Linked DNA regions of Arabidopsis thaliana. The protein of the gene in region 2 purifies or fractionates together with the protein of the main gene of each other region. This does not show direct contact. Each region holds a gene or a part of one and is shown on either strand. Other genes may lie near its edges. The genes, in order: AT3G25660 and GATB.

Evidence for each region.
Region 1: the proteins of GATB (region 2) and AT3G25660 fractionate together in Arabidopsis thaliana (co-fractionation; one large-scale study listed by BioGRID). This does not show direct contact.

What each region holds. Positions count from the first base shown.
Region 1 is NC_003074.8:9,338,545-9,343,895, forward strand, and holds AT3G25660 (Amidase family protein), read right to left. Parts: upstream 3,680-5,351; 5' UTR 3,501-3,679; coding exon 2,973-3,500; intron 2,765-2,972; coding exon 2,453-2,764; intron 2,364-2,452; coding exon 2,184-2,363; intron 2,101-2,183; coding exon 2,006-2,100; intron 1,921-2,005; coding exon 1,845-1,920; intron 1,768-1,844; coding exon 1,690-1,767; intron 1,602-1,689; coding exon 1,458-1,601; intron 1,377-1,457; coding exon 1,263-1,376; intron 1,183-1,262; coding exon 1,096-1,182; 3' UTR 798-1,095; downstream 1-797. UniProt on the Arabidopsis thaliana protein: Allows the formation of correctly charged Gln-tRNA(Gln) through the transamidation of misacylated Glu-tRNA(Gln) in chloroplasts and mitochondria. The reaction takes place in the presence of glutamine and ATP through an activated gamma-phospho-Glu-tRNA(Gln).
Region 2 is NC_003070.9:17,938,074-17,943,522, reverse strand, and holds GATB (GLU-ADT subunit B), read right to left. Parts: upstream 3,474-5,449; 5' UTR 3,339-3,473; coding exon 2,706-3,338; intron 2,585-2,705; coding exon 2,375-2,584; intron 2,286-2,374; coding exon 2,145-2,285; intron 2,075-2,144; coding exon 1,871-2,074; intron 1,688-1,870; coding exon 1,490-1,687; coding exon of another isoform or gene 1,448-1,489; exon of another isoform or gene 1,420-1,447; coding exon 1,351-1,419; coding exon of another isoform or gene 1,347-1,350; intron 1,259-1,346; coding exon 1,142-1,258; intron 1,064-1,141; coding exon 983-1,063; 3' UTR 659-982; downstream 1-658. Other genes in the region: AT1G48530 (proteasome inhibitor-like protein), read left to right, coding at 1-15.

The DNA.
Region 1 (5,351 bases), on a different chromosome or scaffold from region 2:
TTCTATTTTCCTTTTTCTTGTAGCTTTTTAACATGATCTCTTGAGAAGGACTTGCGTAAATAGTTTGAAGCTAACCACCATGTATAGTCCATAGGCCAAATAAACAAGTTTTGTTTAAAGAAATTATTTCCGTTATTAGGGGTTACCAAACAATTAATTTATCATATTTAATAGTTAATTATTCACCTGCAAATTATTTGTGGCACCTAATATTTAAATTATTTATCAGCACATAATTTTGTTCTGTTATAACAACTAACATAACATTTCGTCCAACAAAAATCTCTTTTCATAGGTTAATGTGTTTATATATTCATGTGACAACTTTCACGGAGTAGACGTAAATGTCAAACCATGCACACGCATGATCCGTTGGATTTTGATCGTCCACTGGAGACAGATATTCGTCTGGACCACTAGATTTCTGAGATTTTAATATGTTTGCATAATTATAGGTAATAACATATGATTTCTTCAGAATTATTCTAGAAATTTTAAAGTAGTCTATACTTATACTCTAGCACCAGAGTTTCATTTTATAAAATGCCAATAATCTATTTGAAACGTGTAATGCTTTTGACCATTTATTAAGATTTGTGTTGGTACTAGTGGACAAATTTTAAGTTTACTTACTCAAGATTTATAACAAAATATACAAATTTAAATATTGTGTTAATCAATCATGATACAACCATAATTAATAATAATCATGTGCATGAATGCAATGGCAAGGACTTCTTTTCAGTTGATACAATTTTTTAGTTTATTTACTCAAGATTTATAACAAAATATACATATTTAAAAATTGTGTTAATCAATCATGATACTCAACAATAATCAAGTGCATGAATGCAATGGCAAGGGCCAAGGACCAATAAATCAAAAACGAATAAAAGAAAAAAACCATCCCCATTTAGGAGTACCAAATAAGAGCATAGAGACCAAGAAGAAGAAGAAGAAAGAATACGTATGTGGCCCATGGGGTGTATCTACATTTATATTATAAAAGAATTGAAGTACAATTACAATTGATAAATCCGTTGCTTAAACCAAGCATGAAATGTAAACGCAAAAAGAGCCTTGGTGGTTACATGGTTAGGCTACATTGGCTAACAATGGAGGAACAAAGCTCGATCCTTTAAGAGTCTGCTCAAATATGTGACCCACTTTCAGCAATTTCTCCTAAAACCAATCAACAAATCATCATGTGAATCTTAATCTAATCTTTTAGAGTAAGCAAAGAGACAGAGTTTATAACAAACCTCATCAAACGCTGCTCCGATCATTTGAAGACCAACAGGAAGACCCGAGGGACCACCTTCGACTAATCCACAAGGTAATACCATTGCAGGAAGTCCGGCAAGATTCACATTGACCTGCAACAAACCTCATATGATACAAACTATGTTTCGTGTAACAACGATTAAATAGAGAAAGAAACTACGAAAGATTTTTACCGTCATAATGTCTCCAGCATACATTGCCAGTGGATCATCTTTCTTTTCACCAATCTTGTATGCAGCAGATGGAGCTGCCGGAGAAATAAGGATATCGTTCTGTTCTAACGCTGCTTTGAAGTCTTTTCGAATTAGTGTCCTCACCTGTATTAACAACCAAACAAAAAGAGCATACATTTATCTATCAAAACAGGTTCTATTTCTATTGACTGCATTTGAAGATGCGGCTTACCTGTTGAGCTCGCTTGTAGTAAGCATCGTAGTAACCCGCAGAAAGTGCATATGTCCCCATTAAAATTCTCATTTTCACCTTGAAATCAAAATTGTCATTGATTATAATCAAGCATTTGTTGATTAAATCAGATGGAGTAAATTCTGAAATCATACCTCTCCTCCAAATCCTTCTCCACGGGAACATTCATACAGCTTATTGAGTTCTTCAGCCATAACTTGATTACCATATCTTCATTTCCAATACAAGAAACAATATCATTTTCTATATCCATGATGCACTCATATTGTGAGTCAAGTCATAATACCGAGATTACCTGACACCATCATAACGTGATAAATTCGAAGATGACTCCGATGAGGCAATAACGTAGTAAGCTGGTAGTCCAAGAGAGAATGAAGGAAGGGAGACCTGTAAATTTTGGCAACAAATCTCAGAATTTTTACACAAAAACGAAAAAGAAAAACTGAGACAAAGGGAAAAGTGAAAATAACCTCTGTCAATATACAACCCAATGCTTCTAAGTGAGACGCAGCTTCCTGAGTAGCAGATCTCACTCCAGAATCAACACCGTCTTCAAGTGTCTCGCGAATTATACCAACTTTCACTCCATTCAATGGTTTAGACTCAAAATGATCCACAGATAGAAACTGAGACTGGAACTCAGGCACATCCTGAACAAAGAGAAATATGTTTCTGTTTTCAAAGAAAACATCTTTCGTTCATTACAATGCAGGAAACCAACTACAACAAGAGACCTTACTTGTTTGCTACTCGTGGAGTCAAACCTATCATACCCCGAAATAGCATGAAGAAGCATCCCAGCATCAGCAACCGTAGACCCAAAACACCCAATCACATCCAACGAAGACGCATAAGCCATAAGCCCAAACCTAGAAACACGCCCATAAGTCGGCTTAAGACCTACAACACCACAAAACGAAGCTGGCTGTCTCACACTTCCACCAGTATCACTACCAAGTGACACCATACACTGCCTTGCTGCAACAGCTGCTGCTGATCCTCCCGATGAACCTCCCGGTACACGACTCAAATCCCACGGATTCGCAGTTACCTTTAAACCAAAACCAAACCCCAAGATTCAATCCCTATACCATCACAAGCTCCCCAATAAGACCATAAATAAAGGCTCCAACTTTATTAACATTGCTGAATCATTCAATCCTAAACCATCATCACAAGTCTCCCTAACAAAACCATATTCATCTATCTAAACATGCTCCAAATTTATTAACAATCATCACAAGATTCATAAGACAAACCTGAAAAGCAGAAGCTTCAGTGGTACTTCCCATTCCAAACTCATCCATATTAGTCTTACCAACAACAATCCCACCCAACTCTTTAATCTTCTTAACCGCCGTCGCATCGAACGGTGGACGATAATGCTCTAAGATTCTCGAAGCAGCAGTAGAAGGCATACCTTGAGTACATATATTATCCTTAACGCCGATCAAAACTCCGGCGAGAGGACCCAATTCCTCACCTTTAGCGATTCGTTGATCAATCTCTTGAGCATCTTTGAGAACATTCTCCGATACGTGAAGGAAGCATTTGAGCTGAGGTTCAGTGAGACGGATACGAGAAAGGTAAGATTTTGCGATTTCGACAGCTGTGGTTTCGCCGGAGAGGAGTGAACGACGAGTGGTGAGAATTTGAGATTGTGGTGGAGAGATAACGGAAGTGTCGATGGTCTTCGAAGAAGCTGCGGAGACGATGGTTTTAGATATTTGGAACCGGCGTAGAGGGAGGAGTGATAGAGAACGCGGCGGTTGCAATGTCGATAACATTGCTTGAAGTTTCGAATTTGAATCACTGAATCATCAAATTGGGAAGATAGTGAGTTTAAACTGAAATTGGGTAGTAGAGTAATAAGACAAAGAAGGATGAATTCTCCGGTGTAACGCCGGCGAAAATGTTTCGGCGACTGTTCGAGGAAGGAGAGAAATCATCAGGATAAGACTTTTTTCAGTGTTCAAAACATGGAGAGAAGATTTATTAGTGGGCCGAAATTAAATGGGTAATAAAGCCCAATACAATTTTTTCTTATCGTTAAAGCCCAATAAAAGTTAAGGCGGCGATGGTGTAGACTGTAGAACGAGTTATGAATAGTTACGACTTACGATTATCTATTATGTTATATGTATGTTCCCAAAATTGTATTTAACGTAACGATAATTATATATATTTTATGTTAAGCTTAAAACAGTTGACAATGAGAAGGTCTTTAGAAATTAGGTAACATTGGTAAAAATATACATTCAAGTATTTCCGCTGTAAAATCTTTACCATGCTTTTGAGTTTTAATCGAACTAGCCAATCAATGTTATTCGTATGACGTAAAAATTGAAAAATATGACGAACTTATGTCATTGGTTATTTGTGCTTTCCCTTGTTGACATGTATTAGTCATTCATTATACATGTTTTAAGGATATGACACTAAACAAAAGAGCTCGATATAATTTGTAAGTAAATAGAGTAAAGTATTTACTCCATCCAACAAAATCAATCAAATCAAGACGATAAAAGTGTCAAAAACTTGTACGGAAATTAATAATTACATTAACTGTATATAAATTACTTTACGGTAAAAAAGTGAAAAAAGAGCCAGGAAATAAGGACTGCAGGAACATTCAACTCTTGGCCAGAGGGTTGAGTTAATAAATTGTTCAAGAAAACCAAACTCATTACTAACTTTACTATTTAATCCGTACGGCTCATTGAAACTTGCAAGAATCATTTATTAAATATCATCATTGTTTTCAATTCCAAGAACATCTCATTGGATTTAACTGATTAAAAGGAAAATATAAATTTCTTTTTAATTTTGATTCACAAATCACAAGCTTGTGGATAAGATAGTAAGAAAAGATGAAATGGAAAAAAAGATCGTAAGAACGTATTTAACAATGAAAATACTTTATTCTCCATTGAAATTTTTAAGAATGATACGATAGACATAAATTGTAATTTTCAATAATTATATAAATAATCAAAAGTTTGAAAAAATGTTAGAAATATTATGTTATTCCTATTGAAACATAGAGGAAAAAGAGTGTTTTGGGAAATAGACTTTCTCAGTATTTAACTCAACAAGTCCGTAAAATATTACTAATGGGAATAAAAAACTTGTTAAACATAATTCAGACACGAATTCGACATCTTTTTCGTCTAATTCAATATCTAATGTCGCTAAAATCTTTTACATAAAACCAAAACTTGTTGCAGCCGAGTTATAAAACAAGAAAAACAATTATTTTTGCTTTTGTCTTAGTAAATACTGAGAAAAAGTACAGAAGCCGTCACCTATGAACAACTAATAATGACTTGTGGAGTTATGGAGACAGAGCCTATGAAAGCAACAAAAGAAAGAGAGAAAAAAATAGCTATAAATGATCGTAAAAAGCTAACTGCAAACTAAGAAAAAACAAAGTAAATAGTAAAAGAAGATTTTTTCAGTCTATACTAAAAACCCCTAACTGTCTCATCTTTAATTGAACATCAATATCTACTTTTAAAATTCACCAAAAAAAATATTGAAAAAATAAAAGAGTCATTAAATTCTGTATATGAAGTCAGAAAATTCCAGGCAGTACAAGGCTTTGTTTGGTTTGGTTTGTATTGTCTGTTTGAAACCAA
Region 2 (5,449 bases):
TCTGAGACTAAATGAAGAGCCTAGACATTATGTTGGAATAACTACATGGTCTTCCTAGAACATATAGTGTTTTCGTGTTCCAGTCGACCTGGTGGATGAATTGTGTTAAGGAGTATAAGTGAATCTCTTATAACAGGACTTTGAATTCTTCGAATAAAGGAAAAATGTTCAATGTTAAGATTTATCGTTGAGTCTTTGTTTAGCTTTCGCTTCCAAACGATATAACAACAGTAACTAAATCTTTTACCTTGTACATTTTTATACAATTACTGTATGCTTACTAGTTGTATTGTTCAGTTCAATAGTTCAGAAGTAGAATTGATAGAGTAATGTAATATGTAAGACAAATGATGTGATAACGAGTCATCTATGGTGTAGTCTGGAATCTCTCGTTCAATGCTACATGAATGTTTTAAAGTATGCATTTTGCACTTGAGTCTTGACCTTTGAAGTTAGAAGAATTCTGGTAATATGAGAGAGTAAAAACATTGGTTTACGTAAAAGTATTGTTCCCAGAAGTAAAGTTTGAGTTTTGCCTATCCTATAACTCTGTCAAAGTGTCAATCATTTATCAGAAACTTGGTATAGGAAGTAATGCTCATACTGAATTTGGATTGTTTTTGAGAATAAACCTGAGAAGTGCTAATTTACAAGCTAAGGATACCATGAGGAAAACTGCTCAATAAGAGGTAAGTCTCATGGTTTAACTAGTCTTCACAAATGAATCTTCTGGAATACATTAAAAAGCCGAGAGTACGAAGGGCATGGACCCGGAATCTAGTTTCGACAATGCAGCGTCAAGATGTAATTGATAGGTATTTGAAAAGAACAGATTATGTTTTAACCAACAACACATTTGCAAAGGAAAAGATTTGTACAAGAACATTCTAGTTCAAGAGCAATAACCAACGAGCAAAAATCACTTTGTACCATTTCAATGTCTATTTCAAGAGCAATAACTCTGTCAATGCTGAAGCTTCAATCAGTCTTTGGCATTGAGCTTCTCCAGGAGGATCTTGTTCAGTAACCCTGGGTTTGCCTTGCCTTTCGACATTTTCATAACCTGAACAAAGCATATACGAGTTTAAACTGCTTCACCAAGTACAAGTTTTCAAGAAAATGAGGATCGTATCTGCCATACCTGGCCAGCAAAATAGCCTTGAAGCTTGGTTTTCCCACTGCGGTACTGCTCAAGCTGCTTTGGGTTCTCAGAGACCACTTGAATAACCATTTTCTCAATCTCTGCAGGATCAGTTATCTACAGAGAAGCAAAAGTCATTTCTCAATTAAAAATGGCATGTTGGAAAGTGAAAGATGTAATTCTCTGGTTTCAACTCTTCATGGACTTGCCTGAACTAAATCTTTTGCCTTTATCATTCCTTTGACGGTTCCACCTTTGGCTAATAGCTCAAACAGTATCTGCAAAAACGGAATTCATCGCATTGATCTAAGCGAAAGATGATGAATTTGTAGATTGAATTGAACCGACCTCTTTTCCGATCTTTCCGCTAATGGTTCCATCTTTGATTGCAGCTATCAGTTCAGCCAACTCTTGGGGAGTGAGTTTAATATCATTGATAGAAAGTTTCTCATTTTTCAAGTAAGCAGCAATATCACTCATTATCCAATTTGCTGCCAACTTCACTTCAGCACCCTTACCAATGACTGCATCGAAATATTCTGCAACCTATGCCATTCATTCAAACAACAGTTTACTCGTCTTGCTGTTATACAAAAAAAAATCTATATTCTCACCAAATTGATCAGAAAGTTTACTCTTTAGCTCTCACCATTGTCTTCTTGTGAAGATAACATAAGTAGGTTCATTATGTATCTAAAATATCATCTACATTGAGCAAATAGGACTTACACTGACGTCATTCGCGAGGAAAAGCACATCTTGCATGCCTAGACCCATCGCCTCATATCTCCTGCGCTTTGCTTCAGGGAGTTCCGGTAAAGAAGCACGAATGCTATCAACATATTCTTGGGTAAGGATAACTTCTGGAAGATCTGGTTCTGGAAAGTAGCGGTAATCAGCAAGCCCTTCCTTTTTCCTCATTGTTACTGTTTTCTGAACATCTACTCAAGTTAGTTGCTGATGGAAAAAGGAAGCACCTGATGAAAGAGTTTTAGCTTAGAACCTGAGCGCCTTCTTCCCATAGCCGAGTCTCCGTTACAATCTGGTCTGCTTTCCCCTGATTATAGAGAAGTGCTTGTCTTGATATCTCAAAGTCTATTGCTCTGCTAATTGCTGAAAACGCGTTCAAATTCTTTATTTCTACCTGTAACTCGAATCAGCAACGAGATTAATGAGTGGATCATCCCTTCACATAAATGACAAAGAAATATAGAGAGAAAGAAACTTGTTGACCTTGGTGCCAAACTCAGCTTGCCCAATAGGACGGATTGAGATATTGACATCGCAGCGAAGAGAGCCTTCTTGCATATTCCCATTACTGACTCCCAAATACCTCGCAATCCGTTGCATTTCACAAGCGTATTCAGCAGCTTCTATACCACTTCTCATATCAGGTTCAGAAACAATCTCAAGTAAAGGAACACCTGCTCTATTCAAATCTACCTGCACCATTAGAGTAACCAACTAACACATAAGAAACACAAACATCTTGCATCTGAAACCTAAAACCCTTACAAGAATCTGATAAAACCAAACTGAAACGTGTCATAAATTCCATATGAACCTGAGAGTAATCTCCTGTGTCTGAATGAAGTAACTTGCCAGCATCTTCTTCCATATGAACCCTAGTAATACCAAATCTCCTATGTCCACCACCAAACTCAAGAGGAATATCCACATCCACATAACCACCAGATGCAATAGGAATATCAAACTGAGAAATCTGATAACCTTTAGGAAGATCTGGATAAAAATACTGCTTCCTATCGAATTTAGACTTAAGAGACAAATCACAATTCAAAGCTAAACCCAATCTAACACCAAATTCAACAACTTTGGAATTCAAAACAGGCAAAGCACCAGGCAAACCCATACAAACAGGACAAATACTTGTGTTTGGATAAGAACCGTAATTGTTAGAGCAACTACAAAAGGCTTTTGTCAATGTAGAGAGCTGAACATGAGTCTCTATCCCAATTACAGCTTCGTAATCTCTCAGAATCTCATCAAGTTGGTTGCTTTTGTGGTTTTTTGGAGCAACCCTTGTTGGAGAAGACTGTTTAGCTTCATGGGTCGTCGTTGTTTGGCTTCCACAAGACCTCACGGAGAAGTTGTTACTCCTTCTCCTTCTTAACAAGCTAGTTCCGAGAAGTGAGAACTGGTTTAGCTGAATTGTTCTCAACAATGTGGTAGACATGTTTTTAAGGATGTTTTATAGAATCAGAAATGAAGAAATTGAGTTCATAAGAAGACAGGACCTGCTCGTTTCTCACCGGAATCTTATCGGAGAAGAGCCGTCGACTTATCTTTTCACGCATCATCTTGTGCGCAGGGGTGTTATCCGAATTGGGCTTAATTGAGTTATTGGGCCTGTTATGTCTTTTTAAGCCCAAATCTCTCTCTGAGACTCTGATTAGCTTCTCTTTCTTTCTGATCCAGAGATAGGTTTGGGCTTTTAACTTGTTCATCAAGTTAGTGATCATTTTTAGTTTAGGTTTAAATCCGTAGATTAATTCTTGTTTGCATATAGTTGTTATATAGTAAACAATTGTCTTATATAAGACTACTATATTTCCTGTTTTTGTATTCACTTTGACATCAATTGCTCAAATGTTTATAAAAATTTGGAAGATGAGATCAAATAGAAAAAGGAGGATCCTACATATTTTATTTTCCTGCAAGAAATCAAACAAAAATTATTAACGATCTTATAAATTATATTTGTTAAAAACAAAATCAGAAGGAAAAGCATACATAGAAAACATTAAACATGAAACTTTATAAAAAAAAAACATTATATGATGAGGAAAAAAAGAACTCTCAAAAAGAAAATTATTTTTAACCATAAAATTTTGGGAAAAGAATTATGTCCATGTATTAAAAAAAATAATTGGACACTGAAAAAACATCAAATATCTAATGAAAAACCATAAGACTAACCTTTGATTAGATGATGCGATGAGACGTTAAAGGTGAAGAGTATTTATAGGCAATTGAGTTATGTCTCAAATCTCTTGGTAGCCAAACATAAAATATTTGATACCATAACTAAATTGGAATAAATATATGTAGTGGTTTTTTAAGGAATATGGTACCAATCTGATATTGAAGAGTAATAAATAGTTTATATAAAATTGATTTAATGAACATTGTGGAGAAATAAATCATAGATTTTATACTGGAGTAATTTGTTAAGATCACACAAAATAATTGAGATTTTATTTTTTTTGAAAGAATGTAAAATTATATTCAAACAAAAAACGTTTATACAATAAATGCTACTTCATGCTGAAATTTAGAAGAGAAGTAGAAACAGAGTTTGACATAGAAAAACAGAACACTCGGGCTAAGAGGACGAGCGTGTGGAGAACCAAAGCTGCAGGCCATCCTTGTAACGATGGTTGCTAGTGGCTGTGATTGTGCTGAGACGGTTCCGTACGGTTCCATCGATTAGCTTGAGATTTTAAAAACAATGAGTCGAGATATTTTTTATTTTTCATCAAATATGCTAAATCTTAAGAATTAAATTCAATAGCATTCATTCTTCCATAAATAAATAGTGTAGTAAACCCTTTATTGATTTCCCAAAAGTCATCAAAAAAAAATATATATATATATAAAATTCAAATATTATAATATTTGAAATTTAATAAAAGTCTTAATACTATAAACATTTAAAACGTTTATAAATAAGAGCTTTGGTAAGCCAAAACCTTCTTCTCTTCTAAGCCAAGAACTGGTCTTCTAGATCTTGTGTCAGTGTGTCACAAGTTTGTTTATACCAGTGGGTCCAACAAAGCTTAGAGAGGCTATAATAGAAATTGCCAAATATTCTATAAAGAGAGCTGCTCATCGATAAGTCCCTTGAAAACTCCAACGAAGATGGTGCAAAGTTTATTGTCGGATTCTTAGCTCAAAACGTTTTTCCGATGTGAGAATGCCAGGATGCATGTAGTCTTATTTAAAGCTTTTGTTACACATATACAAGAGTTAAGACAAATAGATACAATTTCCAAAACTAAACCTTCCTATCAAAATCTGAAGAAACAAAAGCTATACACTATACTATAGTTACGATACGTTCATATATATACTCAAAATGGTCGGGGTCTAAATTTGTCTTAGTGCAGATGATGAGCTGGAGGAGAGCTTAATAACGCAATCGGACAACCGTGTTCAATAGTCTGTTGATGACTTGTTGTCCACGTAATAGGGTGATTCGTTAATGACCCTGCAAGAAAACAAAAGAAAACACCAAACAAGCTCAAGAAACGTGTTTTAATTACACTTAACGAATAAGTACACATT